Macaca fascicularis: one gene and its partner. The protein of the gene in region 1 purifies or fractionates together with the protein of each later gene. This does not show direct contact. Links are inferred from orthologs where the notes say so. Each region holds a gene or a part of one and is shown on either strand. Other genes may lie near its edges.

The links.
Region 2: the proteins of THAP11 (region 1) and CTBP1 purify together in Homo sapiens (co-immunoprecipitation; 4 studies listed by BioGRID and IntAct, with this or other methods). This does not show direct contact. The link is inferred for Macaca fascicularis from reciprocal best matches to the Homo sapiens genes THAP11 and CTBP1.

Annotation. Positions count from the first base shown.
Region 1 is NC_088394.1:63,893,363-63,897,399, forward strand, and holds THAP11 (THAP domain-containing protein 11), read left to right. Parts: upstream 1-1,423; 5' UTR 1,424-1,658; coding exon 1,659-2,585; 3' UTR 2,586-2,944; intron 2,945-3,032; 3' UTR 3,033-3,280; downstream 3,281-4,037. UniProt on the Homo sapiens protein: Transcription factor, which has both transcriptional activation and repression activities. Also modulates chromatin accessibility.
Region 2 is NC_088379.1:1,322,129-1,325,945, reverse strand, and holds part of CTBP1 (C-terminal-binding protein 1), read left to right. Parts: intron 1-2,330; coding exon 2,331-2,537; intron 2,538-3,817. UniProt on the Homo sapiens protein: Corepressor targeting diverse transcription regulators such as GLIS2 or BCL6. Has dehydrogenase activity. Involved in controlling the equilibrium between tubular and stacked structures in the Golgi complex.

The DNA of each region.
Region 1 (4,037 bases):
TTAAAACATTTTCCCCCGGCCAGGCGCTGTGATACTAGCTCACGCCTGTAATCCTAGCACCTTGGGAGGCCGAGGCGGGCGGATTGCCTGAGCTCAGGAGTTCGAGACCAGCCTGGGAAACATGGTGAAACCACTTCTCTACTGAAAAAAAAAAAAAAAAAAAAATTAGCCGGGCATGGCGGCGTGCACCTGTCGTCCCAGCTACTCGTGAGGCTGAGGCAGGAGAATTGCTTGAACCCAGGAGGCGGACGTTGCTGTGAGCCGAGATCTCACCACTGCACTCCAACCTGGCGACAGAGTGAGACTCCTTTACACACACACACAAAAATTTCCCTCAAATAAGTTGAGATAGGGGGGAGGTGTATTGTTACAATGCAAATCCTTTCGCATTAAATCCTTTAATAGCTCTCAGTGTGGCCTGCAGAATAAAACCCCAAATCCTTAACATGTCCCAGTTTGGTATTTTCCTACGCTTGGTCTACCTGGGCCACCCCCTTCCAGGTTCTTTAAGGGCGGAGCCTAGCTCTTTTCTGCCATGTGGCCTTACAGACTGGTTCCCGGGACACGAACTGGGTACTTCTCCCTACCCAAGCTTTCGTTCTTTATTCCTGGCCACCCCCTCCCCCGCTTCCATTTCTCTGCTCTCCTGTTCATTCCTTTAGAGCGATTACTTTCTGTGAGTAGACATCCATTCGCGTGCATTCAGATCTATTATCCAAAAGACAGAGGCTCATCCGTCTAGGCAGTCAGGCTCCAAGAGAGGAGCCCAGTCGGTCTGACTCCCGGAAACTCCGTGCACTGGGTCAGCCACATAGTAGGCGTCTACTGGAGACTTTGTTTAGGTCAGGGAGTCAACGCAGGCAGCAGCTGAATCAGGAGAGAGTCCCCAACGCAGACAAAGGGGCTCCTGAGACCCTTCGGGGCGCTGAGGCCCAGGTTTCGTCTCCCTCTGCTGCAGCAATGCCGTCGACTCAAAGGCGCTCAGGGCTGGGGGACTGGTTCTGGCAAACAGCACAACCTCGCCCGAATACTGGTCCGCAGTAACTCGATCTTTCCCTTAGGCGGCGCTTCGGGTCGCAGGCGCCCAGTTCAGGGCGAGGCATCACGGGATTTGTAGTCTCCGTGGGCATATACCCACCGCGCTTGCGCACCGGTGAGGCGCGCACCGCCCCTCTCCACGCCCCTATCAGGATTCGGGTCCTCGTAAGGAGCAGTCCAGGCGACAGCGTTCCAACCTAATACGCCTCTCTCGCCCGCCGGGGACAAGCCGGGCTGGAGAAAGAATCCGATCTTCGGAAGCTGGCGCCGTGCCTTGGAAGGCGGCCGGAATCCGCACACACCCGCCCCGGAAGTGAGCGGCTCCTGGCGCGGGGCATTGTGGGGGGCGTAGTCTCTTTCTCAGGCGGTCCTTCGCGGCGTCCCCGGGGCCGACTCCCGAGCGCAGGCGGGCAGCCAGGCGGGCGGCGCGGCGCGGGCCGGCAGGAAGCGTATTCTGGGCACGGGGCGCCGGGCGGGCCGGCTGCGCCGAGCGGCAGTGGTGGGATACCACCCAAGGCCTCGCGCGGCGCCGCCCGTCGAGGGGCGGGCGGCGGCGGAGCCACTGGGCCGTCGAAGGGCGCAGGAGGCCGGTGGGCCGGGCCGGGCCGCGCGGCGCAGCCATGCCTGGCTTTACGTGCTGCGTGCCAGGCTGCTACAACAACTCGCACCGGGACAAGGCGCTGCACTTCTACACGTTTCCAAAGGACGCTGAGTTGCGGCGCCTCTGGCTCAAGAACGTGTCGCGTGCCGGCGTCAGTGGGTGCTTCTCCACCTTCCAGCCCACCACAGGCCACCGTCTCTGCAGCGTTCACTTCCAGGGCGGCCGCAAGACCTACACGGTACGCGTCCCCACCATCTTCCCGCTGCGCGGCGTCAATGAGCGCAAAGTAGCGCGCAGACCCGCTGGGGCCGCGGCCGCCCGCCGCAGGCAGCAGCAGCAGCAGCAGCAGCAGCAACAACAACAGCAGCAGCAGCAGCAGCAGCAGCAACAGCAGCAGCCGTCACCCTCTGCCTCCACTGCCCAGACTTCCCAGCTGCAGCCGAACCTGGTGTCTGCTTCCGCGGCCGTGCTTCTTACCCTTCAGGCCGCTGTAGACAGCAGTCAGGCTCCGGGATCCGTGCCGCCGACGCCCATCACTCCCACTGGAGAAGACGTGAAGCCCATCGATCTTACAGTGCAAGTTGAGTTTGCAGCCACAGAGGGCGCAGCCGCTGCGGCCGCCGCGTCGGAGTTACAGGCTGCTACCGCAGGGCTGGAGGCTGCCGAGTGCCCTATGGGCCCCCAGTTGGTGGTGGTAGGAGAAGAGGGTTTCCCTGATACTGGCTCCGACCATTCGTACTCCTTGTCGTCAGGCACCACGGAGGAGGAGCTCCTGCGCAAGCTGAATGAGCAGCGGGACATCCTGGCGCTGATGGAAGTGAAGATGAAAGAGATGAAAGGCAGCATTCGCCATCTGCGTCTCACCGAGGCCAAGCTTCGCGAAGAACTGCGCGAGAAGGATCGGCTGCTTGCCATGGCTGTCATCCGCAAGAAGCACGGAATGTGAACTGGTGCCCCGGCGGCCTGCTGGACTCCCAGACCCCATCCAGCCAGGGGACTGCAGGCCATTGTTGAACTCCTCTATACTCCTGGGGCACTGGTTGACAGTACTGAGGCTTAAGGCAGCTGGACTCTCTTGCTGGTGACCTGGCATCCTCAACTGTTTCCTCCTGAAGTGGAAGCTGGGGCCTTAGACTCTGCCCTGGTGACACCAGCAATTATGACTTTGTCTACCCTTCTTCCCCAGTTATTGTTGCAGATTCTGGTTAAGCAGAGGCTTCAGAACCACTGAACTTGAAACTTACCCTCTAGGGATGCAGGTGATATGTCCAGGGACTATGAGTTTGGAATAAACCATACCTTAAGGTTGGTCAGCAGTCAGACAACTCTAATGTGTGTAGTGATAAGAGATGCAAGTAACATCAGCTCTCCTTTTCATGCTTTTCCTTCCCAGGTGCAGCCTGTGATTCTGATGGGGACTGGTAAATCTGTGCCTCTGCCTCCTAGGATTTATTTTCCCAGGAGACCATTTACAAGGGGATCTGGATGACCTGCTGATGGAGATCCAGCTTGCCAGGGATTTAGGTTTATCCTGTTTTGTTTGCTACTGGTTACAAATTCTATTTTCTGTACAATTAGTCAGACTAAAGTTTTCACTGTGTTTGTTTGGCAAAACAAATTAAACAAAAAGTAAGGTTTTTATTTGGGTCTCGCCATTTTATTTTTACAAAAACATAGTTAAATGTCCTTGAAACATGGGGAAATAGGCCTCAGCCTATTTGAAAGACCAGGCTGACCCTGAAAGTAGAGATGCTTCAGTGACCAGGTTTTTCCAAAAATGGACCCTAAGCACATGGATCCTGGCCTTACAAGGTCCTCACAGAGTTCCTGGCCCAGCTCACCCTAAAGAGTTTGGAAACTGCACCAAATGGGCCCAGTTTGTCCGTGGGTTATCTCCCTGTATCCTTTCAACAAGGACCAACTGCTTACTAAACTATATTGTGATAGTTCGCCTCTGAGGGTTTTGAATTCTCAGCTGGGATTGAATTTTGCTCACCATGACATCCCTTAGGCTTAGCACAGCCTCTGGTATGCATGTGCATGCAGTTACTCTACGAACCAGTAAGACCACAGCTGGAGCTAGCCAAAGCTGCTTCAGGCACAAGGACTCTTGTATAGATACCTTGGCCTTGGTACACCTTTGGTGTGACAGATCTGTATCCACAGGGGGCATTAAGAAGTTGGGAGGTGTGATCCCTTGACTCATTTTCTTGGCTGCCTCTATTTTTTTTTCCTTTTTTTTTTTTTTTTGAGATGGAGCTTTGCTCATGTTGCCCAGGCTGGAGTGCAATGGTATGATCTCAGCTCACTGCAACCTCTGCCTCCTGGGTTCACGCGCTCCTGCCTCACCCTCCCGAGTAGCTGGGATTACAGGCGCCGGCCACCACATCTGGCTGAT
Region 2 (3,817 bases), on another chromosome or scaffold:
CTTCATCCATGGAGGCTTCACTGCCACACCAAGGACCCCGTTGCACATCGCCTGGTATGGCTGGCTGTGGCGTGCAGTCCCATCTAGGGCCAGCGTGAGGCTGCAGCCGTTCTGTTCCTCACACAGCCTCACCTCAGGGCACTTCCTCTCTTTTGGGCAGTAGGAAATCCAGCTGCGACTTCACACAGGTCTGCATGCATGTCTAGCTGGTGCCCGTTGCTTGGGTATCGGGGCCCTGGGGGTGAGGGGCAGGGGCGTCAGAGTGTGGCTGTAATAGGGCTCATAGGTCTCTGTCCCAAGACACAGGGGGAACAGCGGGGTGTGTCGCAACCCAGTACACATGCACTCAGCACGTGGAACACACACACACAACACGCACATCTGCACCTGTGCACGTGCACTCAGCACAATGCACGTGCACTCAGCACACAGAACATGTACACTCAACACACAGAGCATGCACACACATCTGCACCCGTGCACGTGCGGTCAGCACGCAGAACACACACATCTGCACCCATGCACGTGCACTAAGTACTCGGAATGTGCACACTCAGCACACAGAACATGCACATGCATCTGCACCCGTTCATGTACCCTCAGCACATGGAACACTCAGAGGACACGCACGTCCGCACCCGTGCACGTGCACTTAGCACACGGAACACGCACACAGCACACAGAACACGCAGACGTGTCTGCACCTATGCTCATGTACTCAGCACATGGAACACTCACAGAACACGCACATCCGTACCCATGCACCTACACACGCACACGGAACGTGCCCACGTGTCTGCACCCGTGCGCACTCATTAGAACAAACTCAGGGCGGTGCTTGGCCGTCCTGCGTGGAGCGCACTTTGTTTTCTGCCAGGCTCCGTCTGTTGTGGGTTGTTTTTGTTGGTTTTTTTTTTTGAGACGGAGTCTCGCTCTGTTGCCCAGGCTGGAGTGCAGTGGCGCGATCTCGGCTCACTGCTGCTTCCGCCGGTGCCCATGGGCCAAAGCCGTGTGCCAGCCGCCTCCCGCCTTTGTCTCTGTGGCGGCATCCTGGGAAAGGCCGGCTGTGGTGTCAGGCGCAGGCCCGGCTGTGCGGTGTTGGGTGCAGTCCTGGCTGTGAGGTGTCAGGTGCAGGCCTGGTGCTTTCTGAGCGACCTCTGCTGTTTACCATCTCCGTTGCCCATGGAGTTTCCCAGGCCCGGGCTCTGTTCTTCAGCCAGGGACAGTCTGGGGCACCGCTGGGATCTGGCCCACGCTCCAACGTCCCACAGTCAGGAGGCCTTTCTTCCAATCTCGTGTGGTGCTTGGCTTGGCTCTCCCTCAGTCTCCCTTGTTTAACGTTTTTACGTCCAAGTGAGTTGTGTCTGGGGCGATGTGGGATCCCAGCCTTGGCCTTGTGCAGCGCCTGCCCGCGCTGCCCCACGTCAGGCCCCCTCCCGACCCTCGGAACCCCTCACGGAACCACACGGTCCTGTCCAGCCTCCGGGCATATGAATGCAGCCCTGTCCTGGCCTCCTGCCCCTTCCTCCTCCCCAGAGAGACGGACGGCCAGTTGGACGGCCAGTCAGACGCAGGAGTGCAATCATCTGAATGGGGCGGGAAGTGCCGTGCAGGGGAGGCGCTGGCCAGGGACAGGCCAGGGATGAGGATAAATAGGCTCAGGGAGGGGCCCTGGCCGGGGAAGGGCCTGCCTCTGGGACAAGGCTGGGAGCGGGCAGTAGGGGTTACACTCGAGAGAAATGGGATGGATTTGCTTTCTAGGAATGGCTCCAGCTGCAGTGTTATTGACTGCGGGGTGTAGGGCATGGAGGGCGGAAGGGGCTGCGGGGGCCTGGCTTGGCCTGGGGGAGGCCTGAGGACATGTGTGGATGTCCATGTAGGGGTGTGCAGGTGGGGCCAGCACCCAGATTCTGACCTGGCCGCAGCCTCCCCGCAGGGTCCCCCTGGAGGAATCAGGGCAGCGAGGTGACGCGGGGAGACATGTGCTTGTCTCTACATGGGCTCCCAATGCTGAGTTGGGAGGGGTCAGGGCAGCGTCTCACGCCCCGGCCCCACCACACACCGAGCAGTTTGCTAGCGTGTGCTGCCACGTGAACCTAAAGTGGAGGTGGGGCTCCAGTCACAGGGCACAGGCGCCAGGCCAGGTGCTCTGTTGCCCCCGAGCCTGGGAGATGTGCGTTCATTTCGTGGCCTCCCAGGGTGGCCTTGGGGACGTGGCCTTTGGCTTCTTCCTCGGGAAGCTTCAAACCTGCTCCAGCCACAGTAGCCCTGGTGTCCTCCCAGAGGCTGGGCCTGGCCTGGAGGTGACCGCCGTGTCCTTGTCCCCACAGGCATCGCCGTCTGCAACGTGCCTGCGGCGTCTGTGGAGGAGACGGCCGACTCGACGCTGTGCCACATCCTGAACCTGTACCGGCGGGCCACCTGGCTGCACCAGGCATTGCGGGAGGGCACGCGAGTCCAGAGCGTCGAGCAGATCCGCGAGGTGGCGTCCGGCGCCGCCAGGATCCGTGGGGAGACCTTGGGCATCATCGGACTCGGTGCGTCAGCCACAGCTGCATGCCTGTGACCCTCCCTGTGCCTGGCGCTGCTGCTCTTCAGCCGTGCCCAGAAGGAGAGGCCCAGGGCGGGGTGGGGCTGCGGGTGTCGGTCCCAACCCAGGACAGGACTGAGTGCAGCCCAGGCGCCAGGGCCCAGGAATCCCAGGCTGTGTGCCCTACGTACGCGGACGTCACAGCACACATGTGGGCCTTACACGGGCACACACGGATGTCACAGCACACGCGGATGTCACAGCACACGCGGATGTCACAGCACACGCGGATGTCACAGCACACATAGCCTCACACAGACATCACAGCACACACATGGGTCTCACACTGGCCTTCACAGATATCACAACACCACAGCACACGTGTGAGCCTCACACAGACAGCACGGCACACGCTGACATCACACACGGACGTCACAGCACACATACAGGCCTGCACGGATGGCACATGTGCCACAGCACACGTGGCCTCACAGATGCCACAGTACACATGACCGCATGGACACACACAGACATGACACATGGACGTCACAGCACACACATGGACCTCAAAGGCACACACATAATACACGGATGTCACAGCACATAGCCTCACACAGATATCACAATACACACGTGGGTCTCACACCGGCCTGCATGGACGTCATAGCACACACGGCCTGTACAGATATCACATAGAACACCACAGCACACATGGGCCTCACGCAGACATCACTGCACACACAGACATCATACACGGATGTCACAGCACACATGTGGGCCTCACACAGGCCTGCACTGATGTCCCACATGCCACAGCACACGTGTGGGCCTCAGACATCACACATGGACATCACAACACACACGTGGGCCTTACACAGGTACACACAGACAACACAGACGTCATAGCACCCACAGCCTCACACAGCACACACATGGGTCTCAGGCCTGCGCAGACATCACACGGACGTCACACACACGTGAACTCCACACAGACATCACATGTGGATGTCACAGCACACACGGGCCACACGGGGACATGCAGATGTCACGGCACACACGGATATCACACGGCACACATGGGCATCACACGGATATCACAGCATACACGATACCACGTGGACACACACCGGTGTCAGTCATGGGCACATGGGCATACAGACCCGGGCATACGTGTGGGCACACACATCAACCACGGTCTAGCATGCGCTCACCCCTTGAGGCCTCTGGGGCTGGCTGCGTGGGTCCTGCTGGGGCTGGGGTTCGGGCAGCCGCGGGCTTCCTCCGCTG